Linked DNA regions of Lonchura striata. The protein of the gene in region 1 purifies or fractionates together with the protein of each later gene. This does not show direct contact. Links are inferred from orthologs where the notes say so. Each region holds a gene or a part of one and is shown in the gene's direction. Other genes may lie near its edges.

What was found.
Region 2: the proteins of FBXL4 (region 1) and BNIP3 purify together in Homo sapiens (affinity purification with western blotting; 4 studies listed by BioGRID, with this or other methods). This does not show direct contact. The link is inferred for Lonchura striata from reciprocal best matches to the Homo sapiens genes FBXL4 and BNIP3.
Region 3: the proteins of FBXL4 (region 1) and BNIP3L purify together in Homo sapiens (affinity purification with western blotting; 4 studies listed by BioGRID, with this or other methods). This does not show direct contact. The link is inferred for Lonchura striata from reciprocal best matches to the Homo sapiens genes FBXL4 and BNIP3L.

What each region holds. Positions count from the first base shown.
Region 1 is NC_134605.1:74,122,132-74,125,950, forward strand, and holds the start of FBXL4 (F-box/LRR-repeat protein 4), read left to right. Parts: upstream 1-896; 5' UTR 897-973; intron 974-1,642; exon of another isoform or gene 1,643-2,507; intron 2,508-3,819. UniProt on the Homo sapiens protein: Substrate-recognition component of the mitochondria-localized SCF-FBXL4 ubiquitin E3 ligase complex that plays a role in the restriction of mitophagy by controlling the degradation of BNIP3 and NIX mitophagy receptors.
Region 2 is NC_134609.1:32,004,275-32,007,874, reverse strand, and holds the start of BNIP3 (BCL2/adenovirus E1B 19 kDa protein-interacting protein 3), read left to right. Parts: upstream 1-1,248; 5' UTR 1,249-1,322; coding exon 1,323-1,359; intron 1,360-3,600. UniProt on the Homo sapiens protein: Apoptosis-inducing protein that can overcome BCL2 suppression. May play a role in repartitioning calcium between the two major intracellular calcium stores in association with BCL2.
Region 3 is NC_134634.1:2,421,159-2,424,977, reverse strand, and holds the start of BNIP3L (BCL2/adenovirus E1B 19 kDa protein-interacting protein 3-like), read left to right. Parts: upstream 1-981; 5' UTR 982-1,123; coding exon 1,124-1,208; intron 1,209-3,819.

The sequences.
Region 1 (3,819 bases):
AGGGAAGGAATGCCCTCCAGAGGGACCCTGACACACTTGAGAGGTGGGCTGGTGTGAACCTCATGAAGTTCTACACAGCAAAGTGTGAGGTCCTGCACCCAGATTGTGGCAATCCTGGGCACACCTACATGTTGGGCGGAGAAGTGATTTGAGAGCCACACTGTGGAGAAAGACTTAGGTGCGATGGCTGATGAAAAAACTCAACACGAGCCAGCAGTGTGCACTTACAGTCCAGAAAAATCAGTGGAGTCCTGGGCTGCATCAAAAGCAGTGTGGCCAGCAGGGTTAGGGAGGTGATTTCCCCCCTCTGCTCTGCTGAGATCCCACCTGTAGTACTGTGTATAGTTATGGTGTGCCCAGCGTAAGGAGGACTGAAGGTTTTGAAGCAAGTCCAGACTAGAGCATGCCCCCTAACAATGCTGAGCAAATTGGGGCTGTTCAGCCTGGAGAACAGATGGTTTCATGGAGACCTCATGGCAACCTTCCCGTATCTGAAGGGGCCGACAGGGAAGCTGGAGTGACTCTGCATCTGTCCTTGTTGTGACATGACACGGAGTAATGGGTACAAACCGAAAGAGGCAGAATTTATGTTAGACATCAGGAAGAAATTCTTAACTGTGAGGACAGTGAGACACTGGAACAGGTTGCCCAGAGAAGCTGTGGATGCCCCATCCCTGAATTGTTCAATGCCAGGCTGGATGGAGCTTTGGCCTACTGCTGGGGGTCCGTACCCACGGCAGTAGGGCTGGGGCTTGATTCCTAACCCTCGGAACCCCAGCACTCTCCTACCCCACCGCGAACCCGCGGGACCCCGCGGGCCCGCCCCGCGCCGGGGCTCGGGCAGGCGCAGCCGGCGGCCCCGCCCCCGCCGCGTCCCCCGTTCCCGCCCCCGCCGCCCTCCGCGCGGCGCTTCCGGCGGCGCCCGGCGCGGCGGCGGCTCCGGCGGCCCGGGCGGCTCCGCCCTCCGGACGGGGTAGGGTGGCGGCGGCGGCGCTGCCGGGGGGCGCGGGGGGGCCGCGGGGCCGGGCCTGCAGCAGCCCCGGTGCGGGGCCGGCCCTGCGCGGCGGGAGCGGGCGGCCGCGGGCGTGCGCTCCCCGTCCGCCCACCCAGGGCACGCTGGCCGGGCCGGGCCGGGCCGGGCCTGGCAGGGCCGGTGCCGCGGTCGGGGAGGGGACGCGGAAGGCAGCGGCGGCACCGGGCTGCCCCGCTCGCGTCTGCCCGCCGCTGTGCCTAGGCCTCGGCGGGAGCTGCGTCCCGGGGAAGGGAACTGCCCCCCGGGGAAAGGAACTGCCCCCCGGGGAAAGGAACTGCCCCCCGGGGAAGGGAACTGCTCCCCGGGGAAAGGAACTGCTCCCCGGGGAAAGGAGCTGCCCCCCGGGGAAGGGAACTGCCCCCCGGGGAAAGGAACTGCTCCCCGGGGAAAGGAGCTGCCCCCCGGGGAAGGGAACTGTTCCCCGGGGAAGGGAACTGCCCCCCGGGGATGGGAATTGCCCCCCGGGGATGGGAACTGCCCCCCGTGGAAAGGAACTGCCCCCCGGGGATGGGAACTGCCCCCCGGGGAAGGGAACTGCCCCCCGGGGAAGGGAACTGCCCCCCGGGGAAGGGAACTGCTCCCCGGGGATGGGAACTGCCCCCCGGGGAAGGGAGCTGCTCCCCGGGGAAGGAAATTGCTCTCCGGGGAAGGGAACTGCTCCCCGGGGATGGGAACTGCTCCCCGGGGAAGGGAGCTGCGTCCTGGAGAGGGGAACTGCTCCCCGGGGAAAGGAACTGCCCCTGCCGGTGGAGAGCGCGGTTGCCGAAGGAGTGGGAAGGGGTAGGGGTGGGATGGAGCAGGGAGGAGGGGAGGAACAGTGCTGGGACCAGACAAAGCGGGCAGGGCTGGGCACGGGTTGTGCTCCTCTCCCCTGCGGGTCCTCCGCCGCTGCTCGGTCACTGCGGTGTTCCGCACGTACACGGTTTCACCCAGTTGCCCGATCACAGCACTACAGAAAGTAGGCGCCGAAGTTGCGATACTATTTTATTTTTTAGGTGTGTACTTTAGGGTGCTTCGCTTCTTGTGGATTGTTATTTGCTACCAGTGCAGGCTGAAAAATGGACATCGATTGGATGTGAATGGACATGATAAGGACAAGGGAACACAGTCTTAAGCTGTGAAAGGAGAGATTTAGGTTTGCCATGAGGAAGAATTTCTTCACAGGAGGGGTGACTAGACACTGGAATGGGTTGCCCAGGGAGGTGGTGGAGTTACTGTCCTTGGAGGTGTTTAAGTAAACATGGCACTTAGTGCCGTGGTCTAGGTGACATGGTGCTTTTAGGTCATAAGTTGAACTTGGTGATCTCAGAGGCCTTTTCCAACCCAATTGATTCAGTAATTCTGTGACAGTGGCAGATACCAACTACAGCCGTGCAGTGAGGAAGCAGCTGACCAGCAAGTAAACGCTATACAGAGTATACCTGCATGGAGGAGCAGTGTGATATCTCAAGAGACAAGTGAAAAGACAAATAAGGCAAATACCACAAATTCCTTTTAAAAAGTACTGTGGGAAATTTTTAATTTTTTAAAAAATTACATTAAGAGAAGAGTTTCACCACAGGTGGAAGGGTAGTTGGTCAGAATGAAGTGGTAGAATGCTGGTAACTTTAGGCTGTTAATAGAAAGGGCTGTCTGATAATTTACTCATGTTGAGGAGCAGTTTCTGTTACCTGGGGAAGCCATCTCCATAAGAGACAGGGTGGCCACTTTGAATGTGGAATAGGTACCAAAGAACTTTTGTCTCCATTGTATCTCAGTGCTAAACCGCATGATGAGTCTGGTCCTAGCAGGAATGCAGTCAGTGAAATGATCTGAAGTTCTTGGGTTTTGCATATTTTGGTACTTGTGAAGGCAACACAAGATAAAACTGCCATATATTCCAATTTTTTTCAAACAGTAAAATTATTAGTTAGAAGTGTGTGTGAAATGGCTTTAGTGCCAGAATATATTATGGGAAGAAACACAGCAAATGGGGCCTGAGTTTAAAGTATACTGTAATAGCTTATTAATTTTTAATTAATAATAGCTTCTAGTTTCAACAAGTTGAGTCTAGATGTTGGTACAATCTAGGTAATTAACAGCAAGAGATGCTAACCTGTGGTAAAAGTACTCTGTTTTAGACTAATGTAAGGATCCAGTATTCCCTCTGTGCATTAGTGTACAAAGATAATTAAGAGATTTCCCATTTACTGTCTCTTATCTAAGCGACACATATTAAATTGCATTAATCTATCTTCAGAGATCATACAAGCCCTTGCTTTTGTCATTTATACATTCTTTGTAATTTGTCAATGTTGCTGTTTCTTCTATAGTCAAATGAAGGAAAACTGCTCACTGCTCCCAAATGTGAGATTAGCAAAGCTGGTGTAAACAGGAATTATTACTTCATTATTATACAGAATTATTACTTATGGCTTTAAAAATCAAATCTTGTGTATGCATGACTAGCATGTACAACATTTGCTTCTCTTGAAATAGTACAAACTCTTCCCTATCATGTGCTTTTCCAGGGATGGCTCAGGGATAAAATGTACCATTTTTTTTTTTTTCCTAAATCTAGTATCTGTTACGTTTTCTCAGACATCTTCATTTCACAGCCCTTTGAAATCTCAAGTATTTTTCTGTGTACTTCCCACCTTTTCTCAGCAGTCTGGTTGGTGAATAGTCCTGTTTCTGCTTGTATGGGATAACATTATGGGTATTGAGGAGTTGCATTTGCCAAACAAACTAACCAAAATGAATAGGTAGAATCATAGAAGATCCTGAGTTGGAAGGGACCCATCAGG
Region 2 (3,600 bases), on another chromosome or scaffold:
TGTTCTGTGCAGGGCTAAGAGTCAGACTCGATGATGCTTGCGGGTCCCTTCCGACCCAACCACGCTGTGATTATTACCTATTTTAAGGCCATGTATCATTCACTGTCAGGGCTGGCTTAGCGGCCGCAAGCTGTGATTTTACAGGTGGACGTGTCTGCTTTGAAAGCCCTTCAGTGTCTGCTGTGAAATCCCTCTGTGAATCCTTTGAAAGCCCCTCCGTGTCTGCTGTGAAATCCCTCTGTGAATCCTTTGAAAGCCCCTCCGTGTCTGCTGTGAAATCTCTCTGTGAATCCTTTGAAAGCCCCTCCGTGTCTGCTGTGAAATCCCTCTGTGAATGCTTTGAAAGCCCCTCCGTGTATCCTTCGCAATCCCCCCGTGTCCGCGTTCCCCGTGTTACTCTGAAGCGCCGTGCGGGAGCCCCGCGGCGGGCGGGACGTGCGGAGCGCTCAGGGAGCGGGAGGAGAGGGGATCCTGCGGGGATCCTGCGGGGCTGTGAGGGGCGTCCTGCGGGATTATGAGGGATGCCCTGCGGGGGCTGTGAGGGGCGTCCTGCAGGGATCCTGCGGGGTTATGAGGGATGTCCTGCGGGGATCCTGCGGGGATCATGACGATTATCCTAGGGGGGCTATGAGGGATGTTTCGCAGGGATCCTGCGGGAGCTATGAGGGATGCTTTGCAGGGATCCTGCGAGGCTATGAGGGATATTTCGCAGGGATCCTGAGAGTCTATGACGGGTGTTTCGCAGGGATCCTGCGAGGCTATGAGGGATGTTTCGCAGGGATCCTGCGGGGGCTGTGAGGGATGCTTTGCAGGGATCCTGCGCGGGCTGTGAGGGATGCTTTGCAGGGATCCTGCGAGGCTATGAGGGATGTTTCGCAGGGATCCTGAGAGTCTATGACGGGTGTTTCGCAGGGATCCTGCGAGGCTATAAGGGATGTTTCGCAGGGATCCTGCGGGAGCTATGAGGGATGTTTCGCAGGGATCCTGCGAGGCTATGAGGGATGTTTCGCAGGGATCCTGCGGGAGCTATGAGGGATGCTTTGCAGGGATCCTGCGGGGTTATGAGCGGTGTTTCGCAGGGATCCCGCGGGAGCCGTCCCCGCTCTCCCGTCTCCCCGCCGCGCCCGCTCCCTCCCCGCCATCATGGCGGCCGCGGTGAGGGCGCTGAGGGAGCGCGCGCCCCCCACGCCTCCGCCCCGCCCCGCCTCCGCCCCGCCCGCGGCGCTGGCCAATGGGCGGGCGGCGCGGCGCTGACGTCAGCGGGGCGGTGAGCGGCGGCGCGGGCGGCGCGCGGTCAGTGCGTGCCCGGCAGCCCGCCCGCCATGTCGCGACAGAGCCCTCAGGAGGAGAACCTGCAGGGTAAGGCCGGGGCGGCGGCGCCGCGGGCACCGCGGGCACCGCGGGCACCGCCCGGGCACCGCGGGCACCGCCCGGGCACCGCGGGCACCGCGGGCACCGCCCGGGCACCGCGGGCACCGCCCGGGCACCGCGGGCACCGCTGTGTCGCGATATTGGCCGGTTGCGTTGGCAGACGTGCGGGTCCATCGCGCCGTGTCCCGGGGGATCAGGTGTGGGATAACGCGGACTCGCCGGGAAGGGAGAAGCCCAGCGCAGCCAGAGTGCGGGGCTGGCGCTCTCAGGGCCGTTCCCATCGTTCCGGGCGTTCTGCTGCTCCCTTCCCAGCGCTGCAAGCTGTGTCCTAAGGGAATGAAGCTTTCCAGCGCTGTCTGTGCTCGCATGTGTGTCCTAGGCCGGGATATCGTGACAGACTCCTCTGTCCCGAGTCCATCCCGGGATGCATCGCCTCTCCTGGCCTTCGCTCTGTTTGTTTCCATAAAAACACGGCTGCTTTTATCTTCAAATGGCCGTATCACAGCCTGTTCCTGCTCCGGCACAGCCTTCCTCTGAGGAGTGTCCAACAGGAGAAGGAAAAAAGGGAAAATTGTAAACCCCATCTTCTGTCCTCTTGCTGCAGCAATCCCAGTCCTCTCCGTGCTTTATCCTGCATTCCCAGCGCTGTACCCAGTACGATTTCGGCAGATAAAGCCTTAATTTGAGCTCTGGTTGTGATGGTTCTTTGGTAACAACCTGAGCTTCCATAAATTTCGGGGAAGGGTAGGGAAGGGTTTGCCTGGCGCTGAACGTATTCCCTGATTCCCTGCCACATACCAGGCACTGTCACGTGGAGGGGAAAAGTCCCAAACAACAACAAACAGCTGTAAAGGAAAAGGCGTTTTGGAGAACAGCGTCTCTTCCAAACTCGGTGGCCTGGAATGTTTTTATGCAGCAGGTTTTGTGGTGCTTTGGCTGTCCAGATGGTGGTCTCTGTATTTAGGATGGAGATACTCAGGTTGTTCCTGCACATGAGGCAGTTCGGCCTTGTGCTGTTGCCTTTGGATTTTGGAGTTTCCAGACAGGATATCTGGGATGTCTTTGCTGGTGGGATGTTCCTGCTTCCCGCTAAACCCCTGTGCTGCTGGATAGCTGGGGAGGGACCTGCAGCTCCAGCTGTTCCTGCTGTGCCTTTGTTCCCTGAGCACCACTGTACTGTCTCTCTTTCCCTGCTGATTCCTTAGACATCCTTGCCCAGAATCCAGGGAATTCCCACTGCCCTCCTGCTCCTGTCCTGCTGCTCTGTTCCCTGTGCACTGCTGGGGCTGGGTCCCATCTGTTCCATAGTGGGGTTCCTCTGGCTTTTGTGTAACTTGGGTGTTTTCTGTTCCCTGAGCACATTTCTGGGGGGCTGGAGGGACAGGACACAGGGAATGGTTCCCACTGCCAGGGGCAGGGCTGGATGGGAGATTGGGAATTGGGAATTGTTCCCTGGCAGGGTGGGCAGCCCTGGCACAGGATGGAATTCCCAGAGCAGCTGTGGCTGCCCCTGGATCCCTGGCAGTGCCCAGGGCCAGGCTGGACACTGCGGCTGGAGCAGCTGGGACAGTGGGAGGTGTCCCTGCCATGGCAGGGGGCACTGGGTGGATTTGGGGTCCCTTCCAACCCAAAGCATTCCAGGATTCTATAGGGAGGGAGCAGCTCCAGGCCCTGCAGTGAGCTGTCCCTGCCCAGGAGGGAGTTGTTATTCGCTCCCTTAGGAAAACAAAGCCCATGTGACCGTGTTAAATATACTGCTAGGAGCAAACCCATGACAGCCCTTGCCACACAGCCGCAGTTGCTTAACAGCAGCACCTACAAATGGGACTGAAAAAAGGCTGCACTAAACACTCCCCGGGCTCTGGAGCCCAAAATAATTTCAATAAATGAATAACTGAACTTTGGCAGCAGAAGTCCTTGAGATTATTTTGATTGCCACCTATGTTGAACAATAAAAGTTGAACATATCCCAAAATAAAAGATCTGTATGTGCAGAGAGAAGCACAATGTACTAGTGAGCAGCTGCTTCCCAGCCCTGTGAGCCTTCCCAGCTCGACTGCCTGCACTTTGCATTCCGTGCTGTTTATGAGCTGGGAGGCAGGGCTGGCCTGTGTCCCTGAAGTGTCACTCTGGATAGCCCGGGGTCAGGGAGAGCTCCAGGGTCAGGGAGAGTCCCGGGGTCAGGGAGAGCCCCAGGGACAGTCCCGGGGTCAGGGAGAGCTCCAGGGT
Region 3 (3,819 bases), on another chromosome or scaffold:
ATGTTAGCCTGTGATTTGAGGGTTGCAGAGTAGGATTGGCTTACCTGGGCCGGGTTTTTTATTCAAAATCACAAGTAGCTCCTTGTTCTGATTTCAATCTCAAATGTTTCTGCAGCCCCTCCACCTGTAGACAGACTGGACAGGGCTGTGGGAAGCAGGAACAGCGAGGCAGCTTTTCCTGGTGTTTCCAGGAGGGAAGGAGAGGGAACTGCACACCTCTGCACCTCCAGTGTGCCACGGAGACTCCAGGGACAGACCCGGCCACCTTCTCCCCTTCGGCTACCTGCAAAAAGCCACAACAGCGGGGCCGAGCTGATCTTTTTAATAAAGAGCTGAACATGAATAAAGGCATTAATAAACCCTGTTCGCTTCACGGATGCTCTCAGACACTGAGTCACGAAAAGCATCCCTTGTGAACAAAGGAATAACCTTAAAAGCAACAGCCTGTTGCATATTCATATATCTCATGAATATATAAATTCCTTGCAAATTAAGAACTTTTCTGGGTTTTGTCAACTTCTTCTCCTTAATCTTGCTGGTTCCAAAAAGACGGAGAGAAGGTGGAAGAATGTTTGTCTTTTCTGATGAGGAGGCCGTAACTTTTTATGTGCCCCTTCGCTGCCATCTCTGTGCGAAGACTTTCTTGATTATCTCATCTCCCTCCTTGAGCTTGTAACAAATCCCCCATCGCAGAGTTTCTATGTTGTAACCTAAAACTGTATTTAACACACTACTTAAGAGAATCAGCACAGCCTAACTTTCTAACATCACGCATATAACATTCATTGTATCATTTGCCAAAAGCCAATCACAAATCACGCACTTTTCACAATTAATAAGGGCACGATCCGCGTTGGTTTCGGGCTGGGGCCCGGCAGAGCTTTCCCCTCACCGCCGCCGCCCCCTCAGCGCCCGCGCTGCGCACGCGCGGGACGTGCGCGCCCCCGGCCCGCGCCATGGAGGCGGAGGGCGGGAGCGGCGCGCGCCGCGCCTGCGCAGCCCGGCGGGGCGGGGCGGGGCGGCCGGGCCCGGAACGGAGTCCGGGTTTGTTGTTTTTTGTTTGTTTGTTTGTTTTTTTTTTGCCCCAGCGGCTCCTCAGTCCTCCTTTAGCCGCGCCGCCGCCATGTCCAGCCCTCAGGAGCAGCCGCAGCACAACAACAACAACAACCCGCCGGCGGACGGGACGCACGGCGAGCCCGGCCTCAACAGTGAGTGCGGGGCCGCGGGGGGCCCTGGAGGGGACGTGAGGGCCGCGACCCGCTCGGGCCGCCATTGGCGTACGGCGCGCCGCGCGAGCCGCCGGGGGCCAATGGCCGGGGCCGAGCGGGTATAAATGGCCCGGCGGCGGCCGCGGGGGGCAGAGGAGCAGCGGCGGGGGTCGTGAGGGGCGGGCCGGCACCGGGCCGGCACCGGGCCGGCACCGGGCCGGCACCGGGCCGGCACCGGGCCGGCACCGGGCCGGCACCGGGCCGGCACCGGGCCGGCACCGGGCCGGCACCGGGCCGGCACCGGGCCGGCACCGGGCCGGCGTGCAGCGCCGAGCAGCGCCGAGCAGCGCCGAGCAACCCGGCAGCCCCTCGGCCCCGGGCAGCGGGAGCGCGGCCGGGAGAGCCGAGGGGATCCGCCGTGGATACTCCGGGCGCGGTGGGAGCGCTGCCCCCGGCGGGACCCGCCCCGTCTCCTCTCGCCGGGGGCTGAGGGCGATCCCCCGAGGAGCGGCCCGGGCTCGTTGCGTGGTTACGCGGAGTTTACCCGAGCGGCGACGATGGGGATACAACGGGGTAGGGGGAGGAGCGTGGCTGTGGGAATGAGTTTATTCAGCGGCTGAGTCAATAGCACTGACGTGAGCTAATTTCCCTCTATATCCGGCATCTCTGTCAGCTGCATCAGCTGCATTTTGTTCCTGGGGTAACACTAGTAAGGCACATCATGTAGGCTCTGGTACTTGGCAAGTGCTTTCCCTTCCTTAACAGCTCCTTCGCTGTGTCTTTTCATGTCTAAATTTTAAGGATAAAAAAGGTGAATAAATTGCATTAATGATTAACTGTAACCTCCGCGGTTTACGATGCAGTTTAGCTGACCGCAAAATAAACTCGTTGGTTTCTTTTCCATAACTCAATAGAAATCGTATGAAAGAAAGAATAAACTGTGCCCATTTCATAATGCTGCTATTGTGTTGTGGTAACACTGCATCGTGTGATAACCGTGGCACCTTAAACAATGTCACCTGAGTCAATAATCTTGGCAAATTATTCAGGCCTGTTATACTTAAATAACTATTAGGCTGTCCAAGTTGCGACGTGCCAGGTGCCTGAGTCAATGCTTACTTCAGAAATGACCATATTTGATGCCTGTATATTTTACATTTTTAATTTCTGGTGATGTGGCAATTCTGTGGGACTCATTAGTCTGCTGGATTATAGGAGCAACAAGAGCTGAGAGCTCTGTAAGCCAGGGATGGATCTGCCCGTGGAGATCTTGCTGCTGGGGCAGCAGGTAGAGGCTCACCCAGCTCAGTGATTGCTGGAGGAGCTGAGCACAAGGTAGGAGAGGAAATGTTTGACACTCTGTGCTCTAGCAACAAAACAAATGCACCCAGTTAGCAGTGCTGCTTTCAGATGTTCAGCCCTTGCACAATGCTTTGCTGGGAGAGGTGCATTTCTGCCATTCTCTCAGCTTTTCAGTGAACCTTTCAGGCCAATAAGCTGAGACACCTATTCATGGTGTTCTGTGTTTCATTTGTGTGTGTTTAGGGCCTTTTATTCAAAGATCCCTTAGCACTTGGAGGGCAGAAGAGCTGAGAATAAAACTGGTAACCTGTGCTTTGTTGGGTTCATAGAGATAAAAAACACAAGTTGCTTGCTTTGGGAATTCTAGATGCTTCCTCTATTTTAATTATTATAAAGCTCTGTTACATATTGACTAAAAGAAATCCCACCTTAGGCAAGAGCCCGTCTAGCGCTGTCATGGAAAATCCGCTTAATAATTAGCATTGTGGGAGTCTGGTTGCCTTTCTTTTTCTTTCCTTTTTTTTTTTTCCCTTTTTGGTTAAAGTTGTACTTCATTGTAGACATGATATTTATTCCTTTATTCAGGTTGATCATGTCTCAAACTACTTGTAAGCTACTGAGTTGGTAGTAGCTTGGAGAATTTTTATGTCTATAAAATGTATACAGGTATTTAATTTATATATTACCTTTGATATTTCCACTTCATGCACCAAGCTGAAATCAGGGGGAATAAATAAAATGAGACCAGTCTTCCCCAACATGTTTAACTCCTGCTATTTAAACAGTCCACCAAATTATGGAAAAATGTAGAATTAAAGTCAATGTATATAAATTAATAGTGGAATAATTAGCCATAGAGCAAAGCCAACATTCAATTTTGGAGAAAAATACCATCAATGTGAACAGTTTGTTTTTTTTTTCCTCCAAAGAGTGTGTGTTACATGATTTGTGAAGGGAGGAGATGCTGCCACATTTCTTAATTCTATTGCTCTTAATTCTACCACTCCATTCTGCCACATTTCCTATTTTAGCATCAAGTAGAAATACGGTGAAATTAAAAATTCTCAAGCAGGTGATTAATGTACAAAAAAGCTTGGGGCAAACCCCATTCTCTGTTATTGGGGCATTCCTGTCCATTTCTTTTAAGAAACAGAGATTTATGTCCCTCTCATGAGCCTTTGAAGCCGGTGGTGTTCCCTGCTCCCTGTCCCAAAGCAGTTGTGAGTGCCCGTGGGAGGGGGTGGCGTGCTGGGGCTTGATGGCAGATTATTCTTCCTTGAATGTATTTTGAGTCATTCCAGGTGAGGTC